Macaca fascicularis: one gene and its partner. The protein of the gene in region 2 purifies or fractionates together with the protein of the main gene of each other region. This does not show direct contact. Links are inferred from orthologs where the notes say so. Each region holds a gene or a part of one and is shown on either strand. Other genes may lie near its edges.

Region 1 (7,054 bases), on a different chromosome or scaffold from region 2:
TTATTTATTATTTATTTTTTGAGACAGAGTTTCGTTCTTATTGCCCAGGCTGGAGTGCAGTGGCGCAATCTTGGTTCACCACAACCTTGGCCTCCTGGGTTCAAGCGATTCTCTTGCCTCAGCCTCCCAAGTAGCTGGGACTACAGATGAACATCACCATGCATGGTTAATTTTTGTATTTTTAGTAGAGATGGGGTTTCACCATGTTGGCCAGGATGGTCTCAATCTCTTGACCTCAGGTGATCCACCCACCTCAGCCTCCCAAAGTGCTGGGATTACAAGTGTGAGCCACTGCACCTGGCCTATTTTTATTTTTAATAGAGACAGGGTTGACCCGCACGGTGGCTCATGCTTGTAATCTCAGCACTTTGGGAGGCTGAGGTAGGCAGATCACCTGAGGTCGGAGTTCAAGACCAGCCTGGCCAACATGGTGAAACCCCATCTCTACTAAAAATACAAAAATTAACTGGGTGCAGTGGTGGGTGCCTGTAGTCCCAGCTACTTGGGAGGCTGAAGCAGGAGAATGGCTTGAACTCAGGAGGCGGAGGCTGCAGTGAGCAGAGATGGCACCACTGCACTCCAGCCTGGGTGACAGAGTGAGACCTTGTCTCAAAAAAAAAAACAGAGAGAGATGGGGTCTCGCAATGTTGCCCAGGCTGGTCTCAAACGCCTGGGCTCAACCAATCCTCCCACCTCAGCCTCCAAAGTGCTGGGATCACAGGTGTGAGCCAAGGTGCACGGCCAGCCCTCTCTGATCTTGCTTCCTCTTACTGTTCCCTCCCTCTGCCCATCCACATTGGTCTCCTTACAGCCCTCCCTAGACAAAGCACACTCTCAGCTTAAACCTTTGCATTCACTTCTCATTCTACCTAGAATGCCCATTCCCCGCAAACACCTTTAAGTCTTTTGTTCAGATGTCACCTTCTGAATGAAGCTTCCTCCACTTGCTTTCAACTGCAACGCTACCCTCCTCCAGCATGCTCAGTCCCTCTTCCCCTGCTCTTTTTTCCTTAATGCTTATTATGTTCTAAATAATTCACTTATTTATTACGGTGATTGTCTACACCAGAAGGGAAGTTCCATGAGGATAGGGATCATTGATTCACTGCTGTACCCTAAACAGTTCCAAAAAGGTCTGGCACACAGTAGGCACCCAATATGTAACTGCTGAATGCTTGCTGAATGCCAACCTTGCTGCCTACACCACAGTTCCTATGCCTAGAGATGAACATGCTGCCTGGGCGAAACAGGTGCAACAGGCCCACATGGGCCCTCGACCACTCATGCCAATCACCACCACAGGCTTCCCCAGAAACACTGGCTCTGGGGCATCTGCTCTGCCTTGCCCCTTCTCCTGAGACCTTAAATATGCTCATTCCTTGGAGTTCCTTTTCCAGAGATACATCTGCTCTCCTGGTTCCAGCTGCACCCTTCCAAGATGCCCAAGCTGTTTCATCTTCAATCTGGGGTCCTTGCTGAGCCCTGGGCTCAACTACTCCAACCCTGACCTCTTGGTATCCTCCTCACTGGGGACACAAAGAGGGCCAGTCAGATCACTGCAAATCTCCTTACTAAGATATCACCCCAGGGGCCGTGCACGGTGGCTCATGCCTGTAATCATAGCACTTTGGGAGGCCAAAGCAGGTGGATCACTTGAGGACTTGAGGTCAGGAGTTCAAGACCAGCCTGGCCAACATGGTGAAACCTCATTTCTACCAAAAATATAAAAAACTAGCCAGGTGTGGTGGTGTACGCCTGTAATCCCAGCTACTTGTGAGGCTGAGGGAGGATTATCGCTTGAAGGAGGTGGAGGTTGCAGTCAGCCAAGACTGTGCCACTGTACTCCAGCCTGGGCGACAGAGAGAGACTCCATCTCAAAAAAATAATAATAATTTTTTAAAAAAAGATATTACACCAGGGGAGTTCCTCTTCAGTGTCGCCCCAGGGAAGTTCCACTTCCTGACTTCTTGAATTCCACCTGTGGGACTAAGGATGTCCCTGTCACACAGATAGCAAACCTGCCAGTCAATTTGTGACTTCTCACTCTCCTTCCCTGGGCAGCGCCATTAGCCACCAGATCCCACGTGAGTAATGTCTTTATCCCCTATTGAACCCTAACTCCTCATGTTGACTCCTAGAAAACACGTGTCCCAGCTGGGCGCAGTGGCTCACGCCTGTAATTCCAGCACTTTGGGAGGCCAAGGCAGGAGGGTCACCTGAGGTCAGGAGTTCGAGACCAGCCTGGCCAACATGGGGAAACCCCGTCTCTACTAAAAATACAAAAATTAACTCGGCATGGTGGTGTCCGCCTGTAATCCCAGCTATTCAGGAGGCTGAGGCAAAAAGAAAAGAAAACGTGTCCCACAGTCAAGCCTAGGTCTTGTCTGGGGTCAATAAGTAACTTCTTATTGAATGGAAGAAAATAAAGCAGGGTGTTATAACCGGACTGAGCATCAGGAGACCTGGTTTCCTGACCTTGAGCAAGTTCTTTCTCTCTCTGAGCTCAGGTTCCCCACTTGGAAAAATCATCCAATTGGACTCCATGACCTCTACAGGCCCTTCCTTCATACATCTGTCATCTACTACTTCATGAAACATTTGCTGAAATGTCATTTCTGAGAAAAAAAACCCACCTGGGTTTTTCTCATTCTTGTGTTGATGGAGTTATAGTTCTCATCAGCTTCCTCCTTCTGGGGCTCTATGGCTGTGGGAAGACACAGGGGTATTGGGGGTACTTGTCTCCATAGGATTTTTAGGGAAATATAATTTATCATAAAATGACTAAGGCTGAGCCTCCAAGAGGAGAAAGTAAGTTTATTTTTCTTTGCATTACATCACTTGAGTTCCCGTACGAATGCAGAGGCCACCTAACAAAACCCCATCTCCCTGCCCAAAGAATGCCCCAGTGGGCAGTGATAACTGTGTAAGTAAATGGTTTCATTGTAAATAAAAGAACCTGAGAGACTGCCTTGTGCTGTGGAGAGTACAATGGCCTGGAGGCCAGAAGACAGAGATGCTAGAACCAGGCCTGCTGTGTGACCTGGATATATCACTGGCTTCTCTGGGCCACACACTCCCCAGATATACCAACAACAGGGCAGGATCAGAGGGAAGGATCTGCCTGAGGTCCCAGTAGCTCACCCTTCAGCTGCAGGCGGATCTCCCTCCCCAGCTGTTTGATCTCGTCGCGCAGGTTCTGCAGCTCCTGCTTCATGCCTGAATAAGAGAAGGCCACGACTCCCAAACAGCAGCCCCCACCTCAACAAACCACCCTGGCCACCACCTGCGTGGAACTACAACCCCCACAATCCCTGGGGCGGAGCATGCGCTATGCAGCCGGGGTTTCACTCACTCTCCTCAGGAAGGGGCGTGGCCAGGATGGTGACCTGCTGTTTCTCCAACTCCTGGACTTTATTCCCCAGCTTGACAATAGTCTGCCGAATTGTCCGGACCTGGGGAGGGTGACCGAGAGGGCTGAAAGAGATATGGGGTACTCCAGACCACGCTGCTCCTCGGGTCCTCCTACCCCCTCGCGAATCCAGGCCAAGACTCCATCCCCTTACCTTCTGGAAGAACTCCTCGTCCGGGCTCCCCAGCCGTGCCGTGCCCGGGTGCACCACCAGCGCGACTCGCTCCTTGTCCTCTTCGTCCGAGCTGTCATCCCCCTGCCAGGCCCGGAGTCATTGGCACCACTGTTTCGCTGCGGCTGTCACCCCGCAGGACCCACAGGCTTCCGGGACTTTCCTTCCTGGCCATCAGCCACCCCTCCCTACCCCGAAGACCAGGAGTCCTGCGTTCCAGTTCGTCCGCGCGCCCCCATCCCCGCTGCCCTGGCGTCTCACCTGCCTCAGCTCGTGGGTCCTGTCCCGCATGGCGGCCTGAGCTCTCCCTCCCCGGCGTCAGACCGGGAGGCCGGCAAACTTGGAATACCCGTACCCCACTCACACTCTGACACTCCCCTCCCTCCCCCTGTGGACCCCAACACCCCCACGAGCCACCAGAGCCTCCGTCCCTTGCACCGCCCACAGTCAATGGGAAGGCGCCGACCCCGGGGACCCCCCAAGGTTCCACAGGTTGGAATTCCCTTTTCTTCCCCCCTCCAGCTCCCGCAGCCTCAGCCCCGCCCCTCCGTGATAAATTCGGGGCATGCGCATATGGTCGCGTCTCTTCCTCGCCCGAGGCGCGGAAGGTGGAGTCGGAAGTTATTGCGCCCCGAGCGGAAGCGGAGCTGCGTGGACGCGAGAACTGGCTACCGTCACCGGAACCGTTGCATCTTCCAACGGAAATCTGGTTGCCAAAAGGGGTAGGAATACGTCATTTGTACGTAATCTGAGGCACCCGCATCTCATATCACCCCATGGTGCCCCCACCGCGTCACGTGAGCAACCCGGTCCCAAACTCGTGGACCGCAGAATGTGACGCTGTGACTGTCACGTGTCCCGGCTCGGTCAGCGCCGTCTCTGGGACGCTGTTTTCATCACGACGTCCCCGGCACTCCGACCACCGAACGACGCCCACACGGCCCCCGCGAGGTGGGGAGGGGCGCGCCCACCACTCCCAGAGGCCTTTCGAGGCAGTGGGTGGTAGGACCCTTGCTGACTTCGCCTTTATTGCTTTCGGGTCCAGGGGCGTGGGCGGACTGACGACTTAGCATTTGGGGCTGTCAGCATCATGGGACCTTGAAAATCGGGAAATAATAGGATCCGAGTCGTCAGCGTCAGAAAATTGCAGGGTTGTGTGGGCAGGGAATCTAGGGGTGGAAAGTGACCTCAGCCAAGGCAGAAACCTCTTCTTCCGCATCCTCCTGGCGCAGCCTCTGACAGGTGGGCAGCCAGCCGGCGCCCTCCTTGAACACTACAGCCCGGCTGCACTCACCACCTTGTGGGCTGTCAGACCATGTCAGGGCAGCTCAGGCTAAGAAAAGTGTCTCTGCACGCTGCCTTCCCTGCCACTCACACCCCCCAGACCCTGCCTTGCATCTGAGGCAGGTAATGACTTTGTTCTTAACTGAATCTGGGGAGTTCCTAGCTCAGTACCAAGCACATTACGGGCCCTCTATAAATACTTGTGGACAGAATCTTAGCCTTTCATGTATCTGAGGATGAAGACCCTGGTTCCTTGGCCTTCTTTAGGCTTCAGTCTTTCTGACTGTGACACTTCTCTAATCCTGGCTATCGAGATATTCACTCATTTTTTATTTTTAAAAATTTTTACAAGATGGGGTCTCACTATGTTGTCCAAGCTGGTCTCTAACTCCTGGGCTCAAGCAATCCTCCTGCCTCAGCCTCCCAAACTGCTGGGATTACAGGCATGCACCACCATGCACAGAACATTCATTTAATGGATATTTTTGGGCACATACTATGGGCCAAACACTGTTCTAGGGCTGGAGATACATCAAGGACTAATAGATAAAAATTCCTGCACTCGTGGAACTTAAATTCTCTAGAAGGAGTCCCCAAGGTCATTTAGTAAGTCTCAGCATAGCTGGGAATGAATAACGGGTCTCCTGGACCCCAGGGCTCTGTCCAGGAAGCTTCTGTGAAGGTACAAGCAAGGAAAGGAATGGACCCTTTCTGCTATGCCCTGGTCAGGAAACCTAGATTCCTGGGACTGGGTTGCTATGGACTTCTGGAAGTTGCTTCCTGTCTCTTAAGTGTCGATCTCCCTCTGCACAGTGGGTAACTTGGGGGGATGGGGAGATCATCTTTATGGGTATGGGCTGCTCTAAACTTCAGTGATGATGAGGTTGGAAACTGTCAAGTGCTGTCTGATTCTATGTGAGGATTTTTGGCTCTTCTCTTCCTGTTAAAACCCAGCTCTAGCAGGGTGCGGTGGCCTATGCCTGCAGTCCCAGCACTTTGGGAGGCAGAGGCAGGCAGATCACCTGAGGCCAGGAGTTGGAGACCAGCCTGGCCAACATGGCGAAACCCCATCTCTACAAACATACAAAAATTAGCCAGGCATGATGGCAGGTGCCTGTAATCTCAGCTACTTGGGAGGCTCAGACAGGAGGATTGCTTGAACCCGGGAGGCGGAGGTTGCAGTGAGCTGAGATCACGCCATTGCACTCCAGCCTAGGCGACAGAGTAAGACTCCATCTCAAAAAAACAAAACAAAACAAAACACAAAACCCAGCTAGTAGGAGAGTGGTTCCCTGATCAACCCACAGAGGGAATGCAGGGTTTTTCAGGAAGCCTCCCCTGGAGACGGTGAGGAAAGATTCCCTGCTCCCGGGTCTTCCATGGCAGCCTCTGCCTCTTCAGTCACTGCTGCTTGCCTCCCGCATCTTTTGTCCCCTACCACCCGACCCCCTTCCCCCTCCTACTCTGTGTCTCTGAGTGGCACATGGTGGAAGGGCTCTTGGACCCCTGACTCATAGTCCTGCATGGGATCTTAAATAATGCATTACTCCTCTCTGGGACTCAATTTCCCCATTTGACGGCTTGGTCCTATAATTTCTGCCTTGCCTAAGGTAGGACTTGGACAGTATCTAGTGAGGTTAAGAAGGATGTGGAAGGGGCTGGAAAACTGTCGAGCCTCCCCTCTGGGCTTTTTTTCTTTTTTCTTTTTTCTTTTTTTTTTTTGAGGTTGAGTCTGGTTCTGTCACCCAGGCTGGAGTGCAATGGTGTGCTGTCAGATTCAGTCAATCCTCCTGCCTCAGCCTCCCAAGTAGCTGGTACTATAGGCATGCACCAGCATGCCTGGCTAATTTTTGTATATTTTTTTGGTAGAGACTGGGTTTCGCCGTGTTGCCCAGGCTGGTCTCAAACCCCTGGGCTCAGTCGATCCACCCACCTTGGCCTCCCAAAGTGCTGAGATTACAGGTGTGAGCCACCGTGCCCAGCCTCTCTGAGCTTTTAGTACTGTGGGTTCCAGCATCTTCTGGGCCCCCGGTCCCATCTGCCTCTTTGTTTCTCAGCATCTTGATGGCATGCCGTCTTGATCCACTAAACTTCTCAGGATTATAATATTCATTATTTCATTTGTGGTCTCTGGATGAGATTGCAGGGTTTTGGAATGGTGACTTAAGGTCACAGGAAGCTGGACTCCA
Region 2 (7,220 bases):
GGTGATCCACCTGCTTTGGCCTCCCAAAGTGCTGGGATTACAGGCATGAGCCACGGCGCCTGGCCTTGTTTGTTGGTTTTTTGAGACAGGGTCTCGCTCTGTCGCCCAGTGCAGGCTGGAGTGCAGTGGCACAATCTTGGCTTACTGTAGCCTCCATCTCCAGGGCTCAAGCAATCCTCCCACTTCAGCCTCCCTAGTGCTGGGACTATAGGCACATGCCACCATGCCCAGCTCAAGCCATACATCTTAATAGTGACACTGTAAGCTGAGGTAGCAAACTGCTAAATAAAATATGCTTTGGCCAGGCACAGTGGCTCACACCTATAATCCCAGCACTTTGGGAGGCTGAGGCAGATGGATCTCCTGAGGTCAGGAGTTCATGACCAGCCTGGCCAACATTGTGAAACCCCCTCTCTACTAAAAATACAAAAAAATTAGCCAGGCATAGTGGTGGGCGCTTGGGAGGCTGAAGCAGGAGGATCACTTGAACCTGGGAGGCAGAGGTTGCAGTGAGCCAAGATCACACCAATGCACTCCAGCCTGGGCAACAGAGCAAGACTCCATCTCAAAAAAAAAAAAAATTGCTCTATCTTGCCTACCTTGACAAATGTACCTTCCTAAAAATCTGAAAGGCCAGGTTGAAATTTAGAATTCTCAGGATCCTAGGAGGTCTCCACCTAGATATGACTAGGGGTCCCCTTTCTCTTCTTACCCCTGCACTGTCATGCACACTGAGGGGTCCTTGACACCTGCTTACACCCAAGGGTACAACACTGGCAGCACAATCTGCCCTCCCAATCTGCCCTTGGGAGGGCAGATCCTGGGACTGAGGGATGCAGGCTCCAGGAGGGCACATCTCCCAGCTACAGGACTCCTTGCCCCATCGGGACTGCTGAGGCTGGAGGAGGGACCAGGACAGTACAGAGGGTTGGAAGTAAGGGAACTCCTCCTCCTCCATGCACTCTTCCCCATGCCCAGCAATTCGAGTTATAGACACTAAATTTCCTAGTGCTTGTCCAGGCATGGTGACTCAAGTCTGTAATCCCAGCACTTTGAGAGGCCAAGGTGGGTGGATCACCTGAGGTCAGGAGTTCGAGACCAGCCTAGCCAACATGGCAAAACTTCGTCTCTACTGAAAATACAAAAATTAGCCAGGTGTGGTGGTGCACACTGTAATCCCAGCTACTCAGGAGGCTGAGGCAAGAGAATCATTTGAACCCAGGAGGCGAAGGTTGAAGTGAGCCGAGATTGCACCACTCTAGCCTGGGCAACAGAGTGAGGCTCTATTAAAAAAAAAAAAAAAAAAATCCTGGGGCCGTGCTCCCCAAATTAAGCTACAATTAAGCTACAGAAACAGGCAATGAGCCCCAGGGAGACAAGGGAGCAATACCCAAGAGCCAAGAGTTCACACAGGACTAAGAAAGCCAGAGCCAGCTTCCCAGCTGGACACAAAACCTGAGGCTCCAGACTTTGCTCAACTTTGGAGTTACTTCCTCCCTGAAACAGCTGGCCGCAGCCCCTGGCTGGAGAGAGAGAAGAATGAGGTCTAGCAAGATGTGTGGGAGATATTATTTTAGCCTTCATCTAGCAGGGGACCCTGGGATCAAAGCATTTCTCTGCTCTTTCCTCCTTCTTTTTAAAGCCAACTCAGCAAGATACCAGCAATTTCCCACCCCTTGTCTAATAGCTCCTAGAGAAGGCTAGAGGCCACGGTGGGGGGGTTTCCTCAAAGCCAATACTTCTGCCCTGGGAAGGTCAGATCCAAATGATTGTCATGGGCAGGCTTCAAAGGGAAAACAAGTTTCCCGGGAGAGAAGCCTGAGAATGCATGGGCTGACTGAGCTATCGGTCTCAGAATATGCCTCTATGGGTGAGCTGCCACCTCAAGCCCCAGTCATGGGATCCATTCCCTGGGATCCATAACAATCTGTGGAGCAGAGCAGATTCAGAAGTGGAGACTCAGCTCACATCAGCTCCCAAACCAGGTGAAAGGCAACAGAAATGTTACACTTCTGACCCTCCTGTTCATTTTGCCCCACCAAAAAGAAATTCCCTCCCTTCCTCTTTTCCTCCAGCCTCCAGTGGGCTCCCTGTCTCACTGTGGCTTCCAGATCCTCTGTCTTGTTGCGGAGATGTTCCAAGTTTTCCCCTCGGGCCAGGATCCGCTCCACATTCTGGGTCATAATATTCTTAACTCCCTCCACCTCACTCTGCAGGTTCCGCACGCGATCATTTCCTCCACCTTCACTGGCTTCCTCCTGCACAGCAACACGGGGTTAATTAGACCAAGTGGTGGGGGAACTGGAGACTTGGCCTCAGAGGCCTGGGGAGGGTAAGGCCTCAGGCAGACTTCAGCTTTTTGTAAAATGCTTGAAATGTTTACAAAGAGAATGTTTTCATGTATTACTTGTGTAATCAAAAATAAATGCATTTGTAAGCCCCAGAAGGTAAGACGTGATGCTAAAGAGACTAGATCAAACTTCTTTCAGGATTGTTAGGACCCCTGACAAGGAAAAGCAGCGCATCACTAAATCCCTCCCCACTGCTTCCTTGCTCCCTAGAGAAGGCCATAGAATACAGCAGAGCCGGCATCTCACAATGTTCCCTTTCCAGGGCAGAGCCCACCACTATTTACAATTCCCGGAGCCACCCCTCTTTCCTGATTTCTCGGGATCCTCATTGAAAGTGTCTGTGCTGGCCAGCAAAACACCCTCACCCAGCCTGACCCATCTGCCCCTCTAAATAGCTGCTGGAGCATGGCCCTGGCCGCAATGCCATTGCTGCTGTGACCCAGAACAACAGGCAACCAAGTACCCCAGAAGGCGCCCACAGCCGTTGAGCCACACACTTCTGCTTTCCCTACCACTGGGCACCACGCACAGGCACCAAGCAACCACCTGCTTATGCAGACATTAAATAAAAATACCCGCCTGGGTGTTGGGGGAAATGGAGGACTAGTCCTCCCTGGCTGATGTCTCATCTCAGAGACTTCATGACAAGGTTTTTGAACAAGGAGAGAAAAACATTATTAAGCTCCTCCCTCCTTGACCTCCAAAAACAGGCCAGTGGCATGGGTCAGAACTAGCTTATCACAGAGAACCAACTTCTGGTTATCTTATAAACCCTTAGTTCTCTTCTTCATGTTAATGGAGAAAGGACACCCAAAGGACTCAGTGGACACACAAATCCTTTGTGTTTCTGTGTAGGGATAAAGTGAAAGGCCAGAGAGGAGAGCTCCTGCCGCTGGGCTGGAATCTGAACTGGAAACTGCCCAAGCACTGCCTGGTGGTGTCACAACACCCGCCTCGGGCTCCCTGGAGGAGGAAGGCACAACAACACTTTGCCTGGAATTCGGAGCCCCCATTGGCACTGGCACGGAAGCCCAGCTCCCCACCAGCACAGAGGTCAGGGGAGGGAGGAAGAAGGAATAGAAACACCTGCTAGGACGGTTCAGAGCTATTTGCAGCCAAGTTGTCAAAGAGGAGAGGCCACAGGCAGCACTGGCCCAGCCCTCTAACTTTGCCGCCAACTCTCCTCCCCCCCCACAGCCAACCCCCAGTCCCGAGCCCCTTCTGGCTCCTCTTTAAATCAGCCCTTTCCTAGTTTCCAGTTCGCTCACCATGTCTCAGAGCAGCCCGGGCCGATCAGCAGGTGAATTAGCCTAGTCGGCTTCCTCCCAGGGTGGCCGTCAGCTCACTTCCTGCTTGCTCCAGCTTTCAGCCTGCCCCCGCCCACCTCGCATCTCGAGTCGCTCCAGCCACACCTAACTCAGGTTTCCCCAGGTAGGCGGGCACTCTTCACTGTCCACCCAGTGGCTTCCCAAACAAGAGCTTAAGCTTAGAGTAATAGGGCTCTCAGATGTTAAAGGTCTTCTAACTTTTCAGGAATTAGAAAAGAAAGATCAAGCAGCCCTCCAAGGTTTCCTGAGGCTGGACCTCCTGATCTAGAAAGGGCAGCCATCTCTCTCTCTCTTTCTTTTTTTTTTTTTTTTTAATAGAGATGAGGTCTCACCATGTTGCCCAGGCTGGTCTCAAACTCCTGGGCTCAGACAATCCTCCCACCTCAACCTCCCAAAGTCCTAGGAGCCATGACGCCCCACCAGCCATCTCCTTTTAATGTCTTGAATATCTGACTCCAGTTTCTAGAGACAGAGATCAACCATGCCAGGCCTGGCTCACAGGGAAATAAAATGCAGTTATGAAAATTTCTTGCTGGATAACACTTGTTCTCAGGTCCCTCAGTGACAGAAAGCACTAAAACCCCTGAAGTCTGGAATACTGTGATCCTGGGCTCTGATTCAGAAAGCTCTGGGTTACTAGTTACAGGCCCCTGAGTGAACCTTTTCACCTCTGTGGAGTTTGCAGGTGCTGATGCTTAGCTCAGACAGTGCTGGTAAGAAGCAAAAAGAGGCTGGGCATGGTAGCTCACGCCTGTAATCCCAGTACTTTGGGAGGCCAAGGCAGGCAGATCACTTGAGGTCAGGAGTTCGAGACCAGCCTGGCCAACATGGCAAAACCCCGTCTCTACTAAAAATACAAAATAATTAGCCAGGCATGGTGGCAGGTGCCTGTAATCCCAGCTACTCAGGAGGCTGAGGCGGGAGAATCGCTTGAACCTGGGAGACAGAGATTGCAGTGAGCTAAGACTATGCCATTGCACTCCAGCCTGGGCAATAAGAGCAAGACTCTGTCTCAAAAAAAAAAAAAAGATAGCGTGTGCAGTGCACTGCCACTAGCACAGTGTCTGTAATGATGGCTCACCAAACCCCTCCTTCCCTTCCAGAGTTCAGCAATTCTGCATTTCCCTTCAGGGACCACCAGAGAGGTAATTGATCCCAGTCAGTGATCAGTGATCAGAAGACTGCCCTGGTGTACCAGAGCAGGGGCCCAAGGCAAAGGACTTTTCCACTAACCTGGCTCCAGGCCGGAGAAAATCTGTTCTTCCTTGACAGTGTTTATCAAGACAGAAGAACAATAACAGGGACATTCAGAAGGGAACGAACATTCTTGACCCATTCCAGAAGATATCAGTTCCAAGGAGGAAATGTCAACTTTTCCAACAAATACTTTTTTTGTTTGTTTATTTTGTTTTGTTTTCTTGAGATGGTCTCCTTCTGTCACCCAGGCTAGAGTCCAGTGGCATGATTGTAGCACACTGCAGCCTTGAACTCTGGGGCTACAGCGATCATCCTGCCTCAGCCTCCCCAGTAACTGAAACTACAGGTGCAAACCACCATGTCTGGCTAATTTATTTTAAAACTTTTCGTAGACATGGGGGTCTTACCATGTTGCCCAGGCTGGTCTCAAACTCCTGTTCTCAAGTAATCCTCCCTCCTCGGCTTCCCAAAGTGATGGGATCATAGGTGTGAGCCACCACATCCAGACACAAAACTTTTTTTTTTTTTTTTTGAGACGCTTCTCTCTTGTCACCCAGGCTGGAGTGCAATGGCGCTATCTCAGCTCACTGCAGCCTCTGCCTCCCAGGTTCAAGTGATTCTCCTGCTTCAGCCTCCCTAGTAGCTGGGACCACAGGTGCATGCCACCAGGCATGGCTAATTTTTTTTTGTATTTTTAGTAGAGACAGGGTCTTACCATGTTAGCCAGGGTGGTCTCGAACACCTAACCTCGGGTGATCTACCTGCCTCGGCCTCCCAAAGTGCTGGGATTACAGGCATGAGCCACCCGCCCAGCCACAAATACCTTTTTAAAGGCTTTAAATAAACTTTGGACACCTGTAGCTTTTTTGTTGTTGTTGTTTTTAGAGGCAGGGTCCCACTCTGCCATCCAGGTTAGAGTGCAGTACAGTGTGTTCAAGCTCACTGCAGTCTTGAACTCGTGGGCTCAAGCAATCTTCCCACCTCACCCTCCCCAGTCAGCTGGGACTACAGGCAAGGGCTACCATGTCCAGCTAATTTTTTTTTTTTTTTGGAGACAGTGTCTTGTTGTGTTGCCCAAACTGGTCTCAAACTCCAAACCTCAAGCGATTCTCCCACCTCAACCTCCCAAAGTGCTGGGATTATAGGCATAAACCACCACGCTCAGCAAATATTATATATAAGCCCGGGCAACATATCAAGACCCTGTCTCTATAAAAAAAATAAAACTGCTGGACGCAGTGGCTCACGCCTGTAATCCCAGCACATTGGGATGCTGAGGCAGTGGATCACCTGAGGTCAGGAGTTCGAGACCAGCCTGATCAACATGTCGAAACCCCATCTCTACTAAAAATACAAAATTTGCCGGGCATGGTGGCGCATGCCTGTAATCCCAGCTACTCAGGAGGCTGAGGCAGGAGAATTGCTTGAACCCTGGAAGCGGAGGTTGCAGTGAGCCGAGATTACACCCTTGCAATTCAGCCTGGGTGACAGAGTGAGACTCTGTCTCAAACAATAATAATAATAATGATGATGTAAAAAATAAAAATAAATAAAGTAAAATAAAAAAATAAAATTGGCTGGGCGTGGTGGCTCTCACCTGTAATCCCAGCACTTTGGGAGGCCAAGACGGGCAGATCACCTGAGGTCGGGAGTTCAAGACCAGCCCGACCAACATGGAGAAACCCTGTCTCTACTAAAAATACAAAATTAGCCAGGCATGGTGGCGCATGCCTGTAATCCTAGCTACTCGGAGGCTGAGGAAGGAGAATTGCTTGAACCCAGGAGGCAGAGGTTGCGGTGAGCCAAGATCGCACCATTGCACTCCAGCCTGGGCAACAAGAGTGAGACTCTGTCTCAAAATAAATAAATAAATAAATAAATAAATAAATAAATAATAAAATAAAATTAGCCAGGCATGGTGGTGCATGTCCATAGTCCTAGCTGCTTGGAGAGCTAGCACAGACGGATCACTTGAGCCCAGGGGTGTGAGACAGCAGTGAGCTATGATAGTGCCACTGCACTCCAGCCTGGGTGACAGAGCTAGACCCTGTCACTAAAAATGATAATAATAATAATTTTATATATTGATTATGTAGTGCAATAATGTTTGGCTATATTGAGTTAAATAAAGATTAATACAATTAATTTCTGCCAGGGATGGTGGCTCACGCCTGTAATCCCAGCACTTTGGGAGGCTGAGTTGGGCCGATCATGAGGTCAGGAGATCAAGACCAGCCTGGCCAACATGGTGAAACCTCGTCTCTACTAAAAATACAAAAATTAGCTGGACGTGATGGTGATTGCCTGTAATCCCAGCTACTAGGGAGGCTGAGGCAACGGAATC

What was found. Proteins that work in one complex are often made in the same cells at the same time.
Region 1: the proteins of VAMP8 (region 2) and STX4 purify together in Homo sapiens (affinity purification with western blotting; 3 studies listed by BioGRID and IntAct, with this or other methods). This does not show direct contact. The link is inferred for Macaca fascicularis from reciprocal best matches to the Homo sapiens genes VAMP8 and STX4.

The regions. Positions count from the first base shown.
Region 1 is NC_088394.1:29,212,671-29,219,724, reverse strand, and holds the start of STX4 (syntaxin-4), read right to left. Parts: upstream 4,131-7,054; 5' UTR 3,873-4,130; coding exon 3,843-3,872; intron 3,666-3,842; coding exon 3,564-3,665; intron 3,475-3,563; coding exon of another isoform or gene 3,453-3,474; coding exon 3,353-3,452; intron 3,217-3,352; coding exon 3,142-3,216; intron 2,705-3,141; coding exon 2,634-2,704; intron 1-2,633. UniProt on the Homo sapiens protein: Plasma membrane t-SNARE that mediates docking of transport vesicles. Necessary for the translocation of SLC2A4 from intracellular vesicles to the plasma membrane.
Region 2 is NC_088387.1:36,008,053-36,015,272, forward strand, and holds the start of VAMP8 (vesicle-associated membrane protein 8), read right to left. Parts: upstream 3,719-7,220; 5' UTR 3,623-3,718; coding exon 3,620-3,622; intron 2,259-3,619; coding exon 2,100-2,258; intron 1-2,099. UniProt on the Homo sapiens protein: SNAREs, soluble N-ethylmaleimide-sensitive factor-attachment protein receptors, are essential proteins for fusion of cellular membranes.